Drosophila melanogaster: one gene and its partner. The gene in region 2 interacts genetically with the main gene of each other region. Each region holds a gene or a part of one and is shown on either strand. Other genes may lie near its edges.

The links. A genetic interaction does not mean that the proteins touch.
Region 1: of Rab3-GAP (region 2) and Rab3, changing one enhances a phenotype caused by changing the other (phenotypic enhancement), as found in Drosophila melanogaster (one study listed by BioGRID).

The regions. Positions count from the first base shown.
Region 1 is NT_033778.4:10,724,942-10,731,790, reverse strand, and holds the start of Rab3 (Rab3), read left to right. Parts: upstream 1-2,587; 5' UTR 2,588-3,186; intron 3,187-4,518; exon of another isoform or gene 4,519-4,731; coding exon of another isoform or gene 4,732-6,315; exon of another isoform or gene 6,316-6,521; intron 6,522-6,740; 5' UTR 6,741-6,760; coding exon 6,761-6,849. Other genes in the region: Daao1 (D-amino acid oxidase 1), read left to right, coding at 930-1,117, 1,183-1,306, 1,388-1,533, 1,603-2,152; CAH13 (carbonic anhydrase 13), read right to left, coding at 4,732-6,315. UniProt on the Drosophila melanogaster protein: Involved in exocytosis by regulating a late step in synaptic vesicle fusion. Could play a role in neurotransmitter release by regulating membrane flow in the nerve terminal.
Region 2 is NT_033779.5:12,057,066-12,066,095, reverse strand, and holds Rab3-GAP (Rab3 GTPase activating protein), read left to right. Parts: upstream 1-2,911; 5' UTR 2,912-2,939; coding exon 2,940-3,015; intron 3,016-3,070; coding exon 3,071-3,380; intron 3,381-3,433; coding exon 3,434-5,227; intron 5,228-5,292; coding exon 5,293-5,509; intron 5,510-5,570; coding exon 5,571-5,698; intron 5,699-5,757; coding exon 5,758-6,883; intron 6,884-7,068; coding exon 7,069-7,266; intron 7,267-7,329; coding exon 7,330-7,506; 3' UTR 7,507-7,792; downstream 7,793-9,030. Other genes in the region: firl (firelighter), read left to right, coding at 804-826, 1,377-1,530, 1,592-1,746, 1,807-2,167, 2,226-2,489; CG34164 (uncharacterized protein), read right to left, coding at 7,883-8,203; RpL7-like (ribosomal protein L7-like), read right to left, coding at 8,768-8,881, 8,949-9,030.

The DNA of each region.
Region 1 (6,849 bases), on a different chromosome or scaffold from region 2:
TGGCGACTTCGAAGACATACTACTACTGCTTGTCTTGGGGAAATCCGTCCTGGTGTTCCTGCCGATTCCTGCTCCAAGTCCTGGCTGCTCCGCTCGCTGGCTATCTGTTCCGTTTCCTCCGTGGCCAAAGCTCTGCGTAAAGTCTGCTTTTAAGTAAATGTTATTAGAAAAATAAATATCTGAGTGGATAGTGTGACCCTCCGGGCAGTGTTGAAAACGATTCGTGCATCGCACGTACAAATTGTGAGCGAAACTAAAAAATACCGCACTCAGCTGTTCCGCGTGTAGGTATTTTTGAGTTTTCCGCTTTGAACGCCGGTAAATAGTTTAATTTCAGCGGAGTACAATAATTGTTTTAAAAATTTGTCAATCCAATTTGGGTTGACAAGTTATACTGACGACAGTTTAGAAAAGTTGTTGTGGTCCCTAGAATGGATGTGTTTTTTTTAGATGTGTTTAGTACAAACAGCTGATTCAACACAGTATTTTCGATGTACAGTAGATACCCGTAAGAAAGAATAGGACAAACAATTAGCTTATTTTTAAGCTATGAAATATATGTATTTTGCCAGTTTTTTAAGCAAAGATGCTTTTTTTATTTAAATTTGGCTACATTTAATTCTATATCTATTTTAAAAGCTGTATCTCGTATTGAATACTCACTGTTACATTAATATTTCGTTATACTTAATTAAAGTCTACTGTAAGCGTGCAGCACTGTTTGCAACCATAATAAAAACAACGGAAAAAGTGTTTATTGCAATTTTAAAAGAGAGCAGTAAAGTTTATCTCATCTTTGGAGGCGCGATGGAGAGCGGATTTGATAAGAGCTGATAAGACGCAGCCAGCTTCGCAAGCACCTTTAAAAGCATGCTCAGTACCAAATCGCCTTCCATTGGGATTGGGTATCAACTCAAAGCGGATCCAGAATGCATTTCGGAGTCTTGGGAAGCGGTATCATTGGTCTTACGACCGCCTTAGAACTCCAGAAGGAGTTTCCCACAGCAAGGGTTTCCGTGATTGCGGATCGGTTTAACGAGGACACCGTCAGCTATGTGGCGGCTGGAATTTTCCGACCTGGAACCAGCTTTATGGGCCCCACCCAGAAAATTACGCAGTGAGAATCTGTTTGGGATTCAAACACACCTGTTGTGCATCTAACGACTTTTCTTTTCATCGTAGACAATGGATGACCGATGCCTTCAACTACTGGGATGAGCTGCGTCGCTCCAAGGAGGCTCCTCTGGCGGGCGTGTGCCAATTATCCGGCTATATTTACTCCCGCACCTCCCCCTCCATCGTACGGGTACGTTGCCGGGCAGTCGACAATCAGTGATTCTTATCTTCATCGGCTTAATTCGATTAACTTTGTTGTTGGCTGCCTTAGAACCACTTTATTGAGAAACTATTGCCCGTCTACCGAAGAGCCACCGAGGAGGAACTGAGGCTATGCAACGGCGGCTGGAAGTACGGATCCTTCTTCACCACATGCCTAACGGAAAGCCGCCTCTTCTTGCCCTATGCCACTAAAAAGTGAGTAGCTGTTTTATGATATGAAAGAGAAACAATTTGAAAATAATCGTAAATATTAACATATTGTAGATTCCTGGAGAACGGAGGAGAGGTTGTCCGTCAGCATGTGAACAGCTTTTTCGAAGTGCCGCAGAACATTGACTTGCTCCTTAACTGCACCGGAATGGGAGCCAAGGAGTTGTGTGGGGACCAGCACTTGGTTCCCATTCGGGGTCAAGTGCTCAAAGTGCGTGCTCCCTGGGTAAAGACGGCTTTCTACGGCGATTACGACACCTACGTTCTTCCCGGATTTGAGACTGTGACCCTGGGAGGATGTCGCCAATTCGACAGCTACAACACCGAGTGGTGCAAATACGATAGCATGGCCATTCGAGAGCGTTGCTACGATTTGCTGCCCAGTCTCCGGAAAGCGGAGATCGTGCGGGAATGTGTTGGTCTGCGGCCACACCGCTCCGTCGTTCGGGTGGAGCCAGAACTGATCACGAATCCGGAAGGCAGGCGGCTGAAGGTAGTCCACAACTACGGCCACGGCGGCTACGGTGTGACCACGGCTCCTGGAACGGCTATGTACGCAGTTCGATTGGTACGCGATCTACTAGCGGGAAACAGTAAACTGTAGGTGGTAAAATCGTTGTTAATTGTTGGTCATTAAACTCTTTATACTCAGAATCTTTGAACCCAGATTTGATTTGGATTTTTTATTGTGCAATAAACTAATTGCAGTTCTCAAGGTTGCGATATGCGCCAGTTCCAAAGGTTTCAAGAAGGAATATTTAGAATATTTAAAGAAACAATTCTTATAAATTTTATTTACTGTTTTTATGAGTTCCTTGGTCTATATTGTTTCAGGATAAGAACATGGGTTCACAAAGTGAACGAATAAATTCGCGCCCACGAATAAATTCAAATGAACCCCTGGGCCAGTGCTCCACAAGGCTGCGGAAGTGCGAAGTGCGCATGACCGGCGCATGAATGGAAAGCTCGCCCGAAATCGCCGCGAAAGCTACGCCCACACACAGACACCCCAGGCACGGAAACCCATCGATTTTCAGCAGCAGGAAAAGCAGCAGGGAAATTGTGTGGGCAGCAGCCAGTCATCCAGTCAGTCAGTTAGCCAGCCAGTCAGCCAGGTTGAAACAGTTGAATTATGAAAACGTATACAAAACTGGCCCGTTTTCGCCGCACCAGTCAATTCGCCGCCTGAGAGCGAAGAAAAAATTGAAAATTGTGTGTCCTTTGGTGTCGACGTGTCGAGGCAAAAAGGTAGAACAGTTGGTGCGTTGCATTTGCTGAATAATTGAGCCACTGCAGCCGGAGTCAGTTCAATTCTGGCCAGACGAGTGGGTCCGCGGGCGTGTGAATAGTTGATTGGGTAACCGTAAACAACTCGACGAATCAATCGACGTGAAATCGCGGCGTATGTCAGTCCAGTGCCAAGGCTGAGTCGAGTCCTTTTCCTTATCCCTTCAGCGAAAGGAGCTGCCATTATCGATTTGTGTGTATGTGCGAGCAACAACACGGCGTACCTCTCACCCACACATCGAAAACAGCAGGATATTCTTGTGACAGCAGGATCTGCAGCAGCACCATCATAAACAGCAACTGAGATATTAGCAGCAGATACTACTGTAACCGCAATAACCTCAAGAAAGAGTAAGTTTATCTGACACATTAAGTATCCGCCATGATGGACCAAAATGGGTGAATGGGGGTACTAGTTCCAGCTAAAACCAAAATACCTGAGTTTTCGCATCAAAAACTTTGCAGTATCAGTTCCATATTGTCAAATAATGAGGCCGTTGGTTGGAATTTATTATTTTTACATTAAACTTCATTGATTTTGACATTATAAAGATTACACATCAACTTTTTAAAAGTATTTAAAAGGTATTTAATAACTCAATGTTACTTTTATAGTAGTTCCAAAAAAACTTCTGATGGATTTCAGCTTAGTGTATCATATCTTATTGACAATAGATATGGGCTATACATACATATGAATGTGGCCAAATAATACATATGTAGTTTTACAACTTCCAGGAAAGAGTTAATTGTTTATTCCCATTGATTGATAACTCGGTATTTATGCACATGCCTAATATTTACGTTTGACAACAAACCTTAAATTGAAACTTTTCCAATTGGAACCGTTAAGGCAGGATTGAGTTCTCGTTTTGGCCAATATTGGGTTTCTTATCAATAATTAAACAAGCCCGCAGCTGCCGACCGCTGAACAGCTGCCAAATCATTGGAAATTTGAAACATGAAAGAGCAGTTAAGGGGGTGGGTAATGGGGGCAGGGTCTGGCAGCCACCCCCACGCAGGGGGAAAACAACAGAAAAATCGATAATTACACGCAGTCGAGCAGATAAAAACATTTCCACACAGCGCCTGTGATAAGGGCCGTCTGCCGTTGAAGACCTCTTATTGCGGCCCCTCTTTGGTGTCTGCGTTTGGGTTTGGGTTTGGGTTTGGGTTCGGGCCCCTCCAGGATATTTCTGGGCCTGAAGAGGCTTGACAGGAGCGAAGCCTGTCCTTTTGCCAGCAAAATCCTTGACGATGACGCGCGCACTCGGTCCTTCTACACCAAGTCGTTCATCAGCAATCTGACAGCGTTTTGCCGCTGCGCAACTTCTGATTCTGGACGGGGGAAATAAGGATGAGCGGAAACGGAACCAGGAGAACCAGGCTATATACACAAATTATCGACACAATGTCGCCGCCTTCATTGCATATGGAAAACAGGCAGCCAACCATCCCGAATGGCAAACTGTAAGCCGAGACTGTTGTCACTTGCCCAAGCCAAGGCTGAAAGTTTTCAAGGCCGCACCAGCCCACCAGCCCACCAACCCGCCGTTCAGCTCTGAAATTCGCTTTGAGTTTTCCCAGTGACGTGACAGGGATAATCAAGTGGGTCCTTTCCCAAGTCAGGCCGCTAAAGCCAACCCCTCCCGCCTACTCCAAGGATTAAAAGTCAAGGGAATTGGGGGGTTATGCTTTAGAAAATATAAACGCAACTTGTTTAATCCACACGCACGCGATTCAATCACTTCCGGGCACAGAGAGAACTCCGGTTGGCCACCAGTTGGCCTTGACCGGTGTTTCATGTGCACCATCTAGCCCCACCGGTTCTTCGTGCAGCATGGACCACAAATGGAGTGTCTATGGATGACATAAAGGTTGATAATAGCACATTAGCTACTCGACCAGCTCCATGCGAATTCCGATGTTGACGCCATCGCCCACGCCGCAAAAGGCATCGGCCTTGCAGCCATTCTGTACACCCATGTTTCTTCCCGTTCCTCTGTTATGGATCATTAGCTCCTCCGGTGTATCCTGATGGATGCCGCACTTGGACTTGGATTCATTGACACCGCTGAATATCACAATGCCAGGATTGCAAAAGTTACCCTGATTGGGAGCCATCATAGGCATCTGAGATGGCTGTTCCAGTTGCCTAGGCGAATCCTTCCGCATCAGCGTAGTCATGCATATGCTAGTGTTGCTGCTACTAGTTATTATGGTCGTGGTATCTATGGTCTCAATTAGCTGACCTTCATCCTCGGAAGCAGCGATGGCCGCCTCGCTTGCTTGCTCCTGCTGAGCTTTCAAGTCGCTTTCCCTTTGCCGCTCCAGTTCGCGCTCTAGTTCCAATTGCTGCTCCTGCTCGATACGTTCCTCTTCGTGCTCCTCCTGAGCTTGAGCCTGGCATAGCTCCACATGCATTCTGGACAACTGGGCGGCATCGTATGGGCAGAAGCAGTTTAGGCTTACAACTCGATTGCCCATGTGCTGGACTGGTCGGCTGTTACGGGCTATGGGCGAGATCCCATCCGGACCTAGGAGCAAACGAAAGTGACGCAGCTGAAAGTCGCTAATGGCTAGGGATTCGGGAAAGATGAACCATTCGGTGCCCTGGTAACAGGGCGGATGGGTCAGCGAACCGCCGTAGGAATAGAATCCAGATCGAAATTGATACATCAAGTAGGATATGGGAAATGGAGAAATCTGGACACGCTTTCCAGGCTTCTGAACCAATCGCAAATTCTGCACCAGGGGATCCAGGAACGGATTGTGCGCGGATAGCTCAAAGACGTATCCGATCATCAGGAGATCATAGCTGCTGGTGCAAGTACGGGGAATACCCGATCCCGTTTTGTGCATCACCTGCATCTCAAGTGGGAACTTTCGGTGGTTGATCGTATGCTCGGATCCCTCGCTGTTGCACCAGCCCCAGTGGAAGCGCAGTTCCAGAAACGTATAGCTGGCCAGGAGATCAGCTCCACTGATAGTAGGTGCATTACCGTGGAACTGGGCACGGAGGATAAGTGTCTGACCCGTATTCTCCAGAGTGATGCTGGCGGGCAGATCATCATAGTGGTTCCAGCTCAGCAGCTCTCTTATGGCCATGCGTTGAATTTGAGATTCATCGATGTTGACTGGGCTCTGGAAGAAAGTCGCTTCCTCCACAGAACTGGAAGATGACCTGGACTTCGGCAACCAAGTATGCGGACCATGTTGCATGTCGTAACCGTATACTGGAGCAGAATTTCTTGAGCAAGATGTGTTCCCAAATTGAAGTGGAGTCCTAATCAAAAGGAGTACACGCTGATATATCTCCTTGAGTGTTTCCTGATCCGCGTGGTATGCAAATGCTCCCAACAGGCAAAGTCCAGTAGTAATCAATGGATGCTGGACCACTTGTCCCAGAATCTGACCAAATACTAGGATTATCAACTGCACCATAACGCTCAATACTGTTCCCAATGCGGTATCAAACATGTTGCCTTTTAGTAGACGCGGACTTGCATTAGAAAGCCAGTTATGGGATAAAAAGAATCTGCAAGTGCAGAAATGTCCAAACAAAAACGCGGAAACAAAATGCTCAACTCCTTTTAGATTTCCAAGTTATTTTACAAAACTTTCCGCTTCGTAGTTTTATGACTGTACGTTTTGAGAATGTGTTTATGTGACTGAGTTCTTAAAGGTTCTGTTGTCTTATATACCAGGTGACAGTCAAATCTAGCCTGCTACTTTGTTAATCTCATCTTGATATCATGAGACGTTAAATAGATCATGTGGATTAGTTATAATAAAGTGTACAAAATTTAAATAAGTCCCAAACAAATGTCTTAGGGAGTAGTAAGATATTGCAAGACTACTAATCCTAATCGTTTCTAATCCTTGTTTCCATTCCCTCCGTGCAGCACCGCTCTAAACGGATAAAATGGCGAGTGGCGGAGACCCCAAGTGGCAGAAGGATGCCGCCGACCAGAACTTTGACTACATGTTCAAGCTGCTCATCATTGGCAACTC
Region 2 (9,030 bases):
CTGCCTCTTGCCAAGAAAATAAAAGAGCCTGAATGTGCAACTGGCCAAAGCGAAGAGAACGGCCAAAAGAGAAAAAAGAGTCACTTGCACTTTTTTGAGCCCCTGTCATCGGGACAGTGGAGTACGGAGAAATTTCAAATGGGGCGACTTTAATTTATATAATGTTCATTTATAGATCAATAGAAGTGTTGAGTTTATTTCTAAGCAATTTTGAGATTCTATATAAATTCTATATAAATCTAGTAAAATTTCTTTAAATACTTGAATGAAGAAAAATGTTAAAAATATTTGCTTAAATCTTAATATATTTAATTATCAATATAGACCCCCTTTCCTACGCTCCTGCATCCCGTTTTTTTTTCGTATGGGTTTGTCTCTTTTCTGTGTGCCACATTGGAGTGCACGTAATTTTCCATTTAGTGGCAGGCAAATCGAAAACGAAAGTGGAAATGTTGCACTGTCGCCGGTGGCTCCAGCACCTCCTCGCTCGCCCACGCCGCTCGCTCTTGGCCAGCCGGTTGTAAATCCGAGGAAGAAACTTAAATAAAAAAAACCAACAACAACAACTCCTCCTCGCCAAACTCAAAAGCCAAAAATTGTGAAAAGGAAATCCGCAAATGCGGAAGAGACCGTCCAAACTCAGTCCAGTCCAGTCAGTCAGTCAAACGATCCGTGACTCAAGACCATTATCTTTCATTATAGCCATTGCACCGCACTTGGTTCTGCCCGATTGAGCTGTCAAAGGGCACCGGATTTGGGAAGCCAGGGAACCCAACCCATATACCCGATAAGAAACCCTCACCATGATAGAACGGGAAATTATCCAGTAAGTGTTAATCCTTATCGGTGGTTTGTCCACACATATGGCACGGATGAAATGTCACAATCAGTTGGTGCAGTTTAAGCAATATAGTTGATATGTTGAAATTAATATTTATTTACAGCTCTAAATATGTTATAATTTATAATATTTACTATTTCATTTGTTTAGTAGCTCTGGTTAAATCTATCAATATATGTAAATGCTTTTTCCAACCCAGGCAGCCTTGACTATGATTCCCTTGGCCAACAACGGGAGTACCCGAAAAAGGGGGCCAAGACCCAGTGTCAATATTTCGAGGCGCCTTGAGCCCCACCAGCATTCTCCAATATCTTATGTTGTACTATATTATGGGGTCTTGGCAAAGTCCGAGCCGAGCGCTTGAACATTGCACATGCAGCGGGCGCATACAAATAGATAAATTAAATCATTTGGGGGTTTGTCGAGACTCGACTTTGTTTCAATATTTGCCAACTCGGAGTGGCCAGCAAACGCTTCTAGCTGTTGCGAATTTCGCTACGATCGGTGCACTATATATGTATGTTCTATATTGCAGCACAACACCTGCCTCGAAGCGCATCTTCGACGTCCTCAAGGATGTCCTGCAATTTTTCGAGCTCTATGTGCGAATTCTGTTGGAGCTGTTTGTGTCGCTGGTGCAGATTGTGCTGCCCAAAAAGCAGAAGGATGTCAGCGGGGAGATAGTTTTGGTAAGAGCATTACATGTGCAAAAATAACATAATAAGTTAATACCAACTTGTATTTGCGCAGATAACCGGAACTGGGCATGGAATTGGTCGGGAGTTGGCCCTACACTATGCTTCATTGGGTAGCACAGTGGTTTGTGTGGATATCGATGGCAAAAATAATCTGCAGACGGTGGAGAAGGCCAAACGGCTCAATCTCGGCGAGGTTTACAGCTACAGGTATTAAGTATACTTACTAAATGTTTAAATAAATAATAACATTATGTTCAACATTGGCAGCTGCGATGTTTCCAAGCGCGATGAGGTTACGGCACTGGCGGATCGGATCAAGTCGGATGTTGGATGCATATCGGTGCTGGTTAATAATGTGGGCATAATGCCAACGCATCCCATTCTGCAGCAATCGGCCGAGGAAATCCAGCGGGTCTTCGACGTGAACGTGTTCTCGCAGTTCTGGACCATCCAGGCCTTCTTGCCGCACATGCAGGAGAAGTGTCGTGGCCACATCATTTGCATGTCCTCCATTGCCGGCTTGGTGGGCATCTCCAACCTGGTGCCCTATTGTGCCACCAAATTCGCTGTACGCGGTCTGATGGAGGCACTGCATGCCGAATTACGACAGGGACCTTTCAGGGATCTGGTAGAATAACCATGTGAATGTGCTAGATTATGTGATCCATGTGTGAATCCATTTACAGATTCGAACCACCACCATCTTTCCCTATATGACCAACACTGGCCTCTGCAAGCATCCCAAGGTGAAGTTCCCATCGATCCTGGGCCTGCTCGATCCCAAGCAGGTGGCCAAAAGGATCGTGGAGGCTCATCGCACCGACCTCATGGAGGTAACCATCCCGAGCTGCCTCCTCTACATCAACAACTGGACGCGACTCCTGCCCGATCATTGCGGCCTGATGCTTAAGGACTTTATCGACAGCGGTGTGGAGTCGGATTTGATTTAGTTTACCTTCTATATTCATATATTAGATCTTAGATCGAACTACAATATGTTGCAGTACAATAAACTTACTATTGGAGTATGCATTAAAATAAAGCTATAGAGATTTTCAGCTTGGTACAAAGTAAGTGCACAGTTTACCATTTTGATCATTATCAAAAAATTATTTGATTTATTTTGTATTCTAACTTATAATTTAACATCTATGCATATAAGCCAAGTATTTATTAGTTTGGGCAGATTAGATGAATAACATCCTCTCAGTTTATAATGTTTTAAAATTACGTACAACAAAGAAAATTACTTTAATGAATTTCATTAGTTCGTTATTATTGGAGTTACCTGTTGCATTGAAATCGATACATAATCGATAATCGATACATCTGGCTATAGCTAAATTTACCTGCACTGTCAACTCCACTGCAAATCAGCTGTGTGATGAAAACAAAAGGCGATGGCTTGCGAAGTAAAACACTGCGGAGAAATCCGTGATTTTAAGAAAGTCCAAGAATACTTTGGACTCGGACATGGTAAGATAAGACAAGTCTCTGCAGCAAGTATTCATAGCTAAACCGATCCGTGCAGATGACAACTGGTTAAACGCGATAAACCATGCCATTTCACCAACTGGGGAACTGATTGCCATGGCGCAGGGTGAAAAGTTGGCATTCCTCAGCACCTGCTGGAGCAGCCATGGCAATGGCAACACCTACGTTCTTGGCTGGTGCGGCGAGCTGGAGGATCCCAACCAAATCGTGACTAGCCTCACCTGCTTGCCGATGACTCAGAACAAAAGCACCGATGGAGCCATCGAATGGACCTGCGTGGCAGTTGGCCTGTGCTCTGGCATGGTTACCTTCTACACGGACTCGGGTGTAAAACTCTTCTCGCAATGGTTAGTTGTGGAATTAAATGTATCTACGGCATTAACCATCTATATTTTTCAAGTTGCCAAGAGGATCCAGTAATTGGAGTCAAGCTGCAGTCCGCTCCGCGACATTCTGAGGCAGATTCACTGCTCTACATCATCTATCCTCGCTGCCTGTGCTTCATCCAGGGCCAGGACATTTTGCCCACGCTGAACAATTGCCGGCACAATGTGCAAAGAGGTGCATTGGAGCGTAGTTCGTATCCCACTGCTGATGTGGTGCCATTCCAGAAGTATAAGTTCAAGCAAGAACGAGAGGCCGTCATTAATGATGCTGCCATCTCTACCACCCAGCGACCTCCCACATACGACTACATTGTTCAGCAGACCATCGGTCTCGGTTATTTCGCCAAGGTGCACGCCACGCCGCCGAGGAGCTCACAGGTTCTGGCCGCCGGAGCAGAACCCTATTTGGGCTTCTTTCAGGCGGAGGAGGGTTATAAAACGATGTCGCTGGGTGAGGTTGCCAAAGACGTAATCGGAATAGCTTACAAGAACCTGCTGGGCGGAATCTTTCGACGCGCTCCAGAGCCCCTGCCATCGCCCGAGGAATCACCACTGCCGGTGCCCACGAAAGAAGCACCGATGCGGATTCGCTGTCGTCTATATGACGGCAAGAGAGATGGACTGACCTTGTCTGTGGCACCTGGTGGACGCCTGGCTGTCGTTACCGATAATCTCGACCGTGTAATGTTGGTGGATACGCACCAGGCTATTATCTTGCGTGTTTGGAAGGGCTATCGAGATGCACAGTGCGCATTCGTGCCAGTTAAAGAAAAATCCGTTCGCGGTATCAAAACGCACAAGCGAAAGGCTTTGTTCCTGGTGATCTACGCTCCTCGAATGGGCTGCCTGGACATATGGGCTTTGCAAAACGGACCCAAGGTGGCTGCATTCAATGTTTCGAAGAGCGGGCAACTTATGTACAACAATCATAGTCCCCTAGGCTCAGGCGGCAGCAGTGGATCTGGTAATAGCAGTAGTCAGTCAAGAAAATCTTTAGCCATCAATCATTGCTTGTTCCTGGACCCCAGCGATGGCAGCCTGAAGGAGATACACATTCCTTTTCACTACGCGCTCAGCGAGACCAGCTCCCAGACATCACGGGATATCCATATGCTGAGGCGCCTCAGAAACCAGCTCAGAACCATAAACCATGGCCAAGCCAAAGATGAAGCGCTGCAGGAGATTGGCGAACTGGCAAGTGAACTGCAGACGTTAGAGGTGCGACAACAGTGTCTGGAGATGTTGCTTAAGAGCAAGAAGCTGCAGCCACAGGTGTTTCAATCCATCATTAATGCCTTCATAAAGAAACCTCTTTCTGAATCAACGGGCTCCGAGGAGTTTGTCAACCAAATCGAGAACTATAAACGCTTGACTGATCTCTACTTGGCCCTAAGTCAAGCCAATCAGCGTGAAGACAACGAGCCACCCGTAGAATACTTGGAGCTTTCCGATGCTGATCTTGTCACCATTAACAAGTTGGTTCTGCTCCTGGACGATGGCACCGAGAAGGATAAACCCGCCGCCACTCGTGAAGTGAGCTTCAAGTTGCAGGCGGAGCACAAGACCGAAGAATTTGTCGATTACCTGAGCATCTTTAACATCGATAGTCCGGATGGGATAAGTCTACTTCCGGAGAAGTCAGATAAGTTTGGCGCCGTAAGCATCGATCTCTTTAGTCAGTTCTTTGCCCAAGGTCTATGCTTTGGCCAATTCAAGCAGTGGATCAATCAGGCGTGTTTGCCCAGCAGAGATTTGCTTAAATTGATTATTTGGTTTTGGCTTGAGAAGCCCTTTAAGTACAACAACTGGTGAGAAAAACATATTTTATAAATTCCGTTCTCAATTTATGTGCAATCTACTTTTCTTACTTTAGTGATGAAGTAGTGGAGGACATGTCCAGAATTGCTGCTATGGTGCAGACCATTTGTGATCTGGCTGGTGAACACATCCATGACTATGCCTACAATGCCATTTCACCGTGGTGGCAGGAAGTTCGGGAACTTCTCTTGGAGAGTAAACAATTTTCGGGCTTGCTGGTGGCCATTGTATGCAAAACGGTAGCGACTAATTTGTGGCGAAACAGAAAAGAGGTAGGTCTACTCCTAGTCATTAAAATCAAAAACTCTTTTGCGAAAAACACTTTTTCCTTAGGGATCTTGTGATGAATCCTCGCAGAACGAAGATGATGAGCGCTGGGAGCGTATCTCCCACGATGAGGCTCAGTGGGGATTGCTCACTGGCAAGCTAGAGGATGTGGCCGTGCTAGGAGCCATACTAAGGTAAGTGCCAAATCAATCGTTCCACTTAGCTCCTTTATGAACCACTGCTTCCTTCGCAGTAAGCCTCTCATCTGCCGGGATCCTGTTGGTCCAGAGATGTCCTACGAGCCACCGGACTGCAGTCTCAAAAGCATTGTGAGCAGTGGCAAAGGCATCGTCACCGAACTGACAGCCAAGTGGCTGATCAGTGCACAATTGCATCCGAGTAAAGTTTTGGAGATATCGCCTCCCGAAAACGAGTTAGACGACGAGAGCAAAGTTAAGATAAAGGATGAGCCTACCAAGGAGTCAGTCGATGAAGACGCGGAATCAGAAGAGGATTTGGAAATGGCAAAGGAAGTGTACGCGGCGAGTAAAGAAGCCCATGAACCTATTCTTGAAAGATTGGCTCTGCTGCGTGCGCATTTTCCCTTCAGCTTGGAATCGGGCGTCCTCTTAAGTCTCATGTCGTGGCAGTACATGGTCCAGTGGAGCAAGCAGCTCTCATCGCTGGACCACCTAAAGGCAGCATTACTTTGTTTAAACCAATTCCGTACACCTGACTGGGCCCTGAAGCATGGAATATGTTGCATGCTGTGGAATGCCACCCTGAAGTTTCCTCTACAGGCGGCGGCGAAGCTTATTCAAAAAGTGGGACGCCTGCCAGTGGACAAGATGTGCCAGCAAGATCTCGAGATGTCTGCGGGTAAAGTGCCAGAGTTTCTAGAACTCAGCCTCGAATTCCTGCAGCATTTCACCGCTTCCATGGAGCACGATAAGCGTGAACTGCACTTCGAGCAGTCGCTCAGCGAAGGAGCCCTGCCATTGCAGTTTCTGGCTCTCCAGCAGCACCATGCCATGCCGCAGCTGCTCCGTCTTCAAACAGAACTGTGCAGCGTGCTGCACTTCGTTTCCTTTTTCCAGCTGCGCATTCCAAAACCACTGACCACGCTTTTTGACTCCATGAGCAACAAAGCTCTGCTGGCGGACATCAATAAGGAACTGCCTTATGTTTTGCCTGCACCAGATCTTGTCCTGCAACAGCAGCGCACTGAGTTCCTGTGTCGCCTTGTCACCGCTACCATGGATCTGATTAGAGAGGATTTGGAGCAGCTGTACATTCTCGATCATGTTTTCTACATGGGCAAGATCTGTGCCTTAGCCGACAGTTGGGAGGTCGATAAACTTCCTATCCTACGACGGCAGGTAAGAATGTACATACATATATGATCCCAGAATTCCTAATCTAGGAACCCATGAACACACATGACAGGGAGCTTACAATCCCTTTTGCCTTTCAACATCAGTTCGTTAGTTTGCTCCGTAGAGAGCACAACAGAGGAAACACAATGGAATAGAAAATATATTCCAAATATTTTTCCCTCCTCCAGGTGGTGGAACTGTACGCTTTTGGGTATGATGCGGAGGCTCAAGTGTTGCTCCAGGACATCAGCGATGACGAGGAGCTGGGCCGACTGCTGCTGGAGATCGCTGGCCGTAGACTTAATCTTTACGCACAGAGCTCGCAGTCCACGTTCCTGAAGATTGCCTCTGTTGGCCACCAGTTGCTGGCCTACCTAGACAACCTGGTAAGTGCTGCAAGCGCATATATCATTCGCAGTACTGATCCATTTCTCACGCCGCTTACGCAGAAGGAACCGATGACGGAGAACAACATTCAGATCGCGGCCACCAAGCCCGACGAGATCGATGTGGCTGCCCTGGACAGGCTGTTGTCGCATGCCTACAAATACCTTTGCCGGCGCGAGTCCAAGCAGCTGCCCATCATTGGCCAGATGTACAACGCCGTGCGTATCCTGCAGAATTAGGAGTGAGGATGACACATAAACACTTGGTTATTTTACATTTCTCTCATGATTTTTATGGATTCAAGAATGAACCCAATATTGATTGTTAAAGCACCACATGCGGTCCCATTAATTGTCTTATACTTATCAACCTAGTAGCGATTTAAACAACCTACGAAAAGCATCATATTAATTACTTTCAAGAAAAAGGATACTAAGATCTGCACCGATAGGAGGATGTATTCAACACGAATTTGATGTGAAGCTTATGCCTACAAGGATTATGAACATGTATATTTAATAAAATAAAAAAAAAAATTTTAATATTCTTTTACTAAATTTAAGGGATACCAAAAGATAAAATAACAATACTTTCTTTATTGATGCCCAACGTAATTTAATTTATATTTGAGCAGGGATCCAAGCGGGTCTTTGAACTTCGTGCCTTGGGCGCTGCCTCCAAGTTCTCCGCCTGTATTCGTCCGATTGCCTCCGGCGTGGGCAATCTCTCCGGCATCATGGTGGCGTGCACTTTGAGATGAGTGTAGACGGCAATGTAGCTCTGGCTGGTGTCCAGTTCGATGGGTGGACTCTGCTCTATGCGGCCAGGCAGGGCAAAGTGCTTGCCAAGAATGGGTTCCTTGAGAGATCGGGCCAGAATTTTTTGCAGTCCATCGCGGTCGGTGTCCAACTGCTCGCTGTTGAAACTTGAATTCATTGAGAATTAATTGAATCTAAGGATTTTGAATTCCAATGTGTAGTCCCTGGAGTTTTATCCGAACAAAAGATACGACGACCCGAGTTGCACTAGGTTAGTGGCACTGACTCCGACTAATCGAAAAACAACAGTTCCTCCTTCATGGCAACAAGTAGTTCAGTTTGGCATACCTTTCGTTTGCGAGGAGCCACCTCGGTTATGACTTATTTATTATTCGAGGCAGAAAGTTGATTCTCTGGTTTGTTCAATTTGGGAACTCGGCTGGGACACGCAAGGCCAAGAAGCAAAGAACTTGTTTCGTGGGTGAAGTTTATCATGTTGATAAACATGTAGAATAATGAGGAATGTCGTTAGAGACAGTTTCATGTGGTTCCTTAATAGTCGCAGGATTGCTTTTATAGGCATACAGTAAACTCACGATAGTGCTGACCTGACCATCTATTTTCTTCGTTAAATAAGTACGCTCAAATAGAATACGTTTGTATATAGATGTGTATTGGGCTTAGCTACAGAATGGGTTATAGAGGTTGAACAATCACTTAAGGGTTTACTAGGCTAGGGTCTCTACAGGCAGCGGGCAATCAGTTCGTTGATGGCAGTGCCACGATCGCCGTACTCGCCACCGCGTTTGTACGAGACGGATACCTTCTTTTGCCAACCATTGCTGGGACTGGACAACTGGAAAAAACCAAATGGCGGTAATAGTATAGTTTTAAGAATTGCAAAAGAGAAGTTGTTAACCAACCGTGAAGGCGCACAGAAACTCATTTACAGCGGCGAAGTTTGGACCCACTGTGCAAATTTCGTGGATTATATCCTCCAGACAG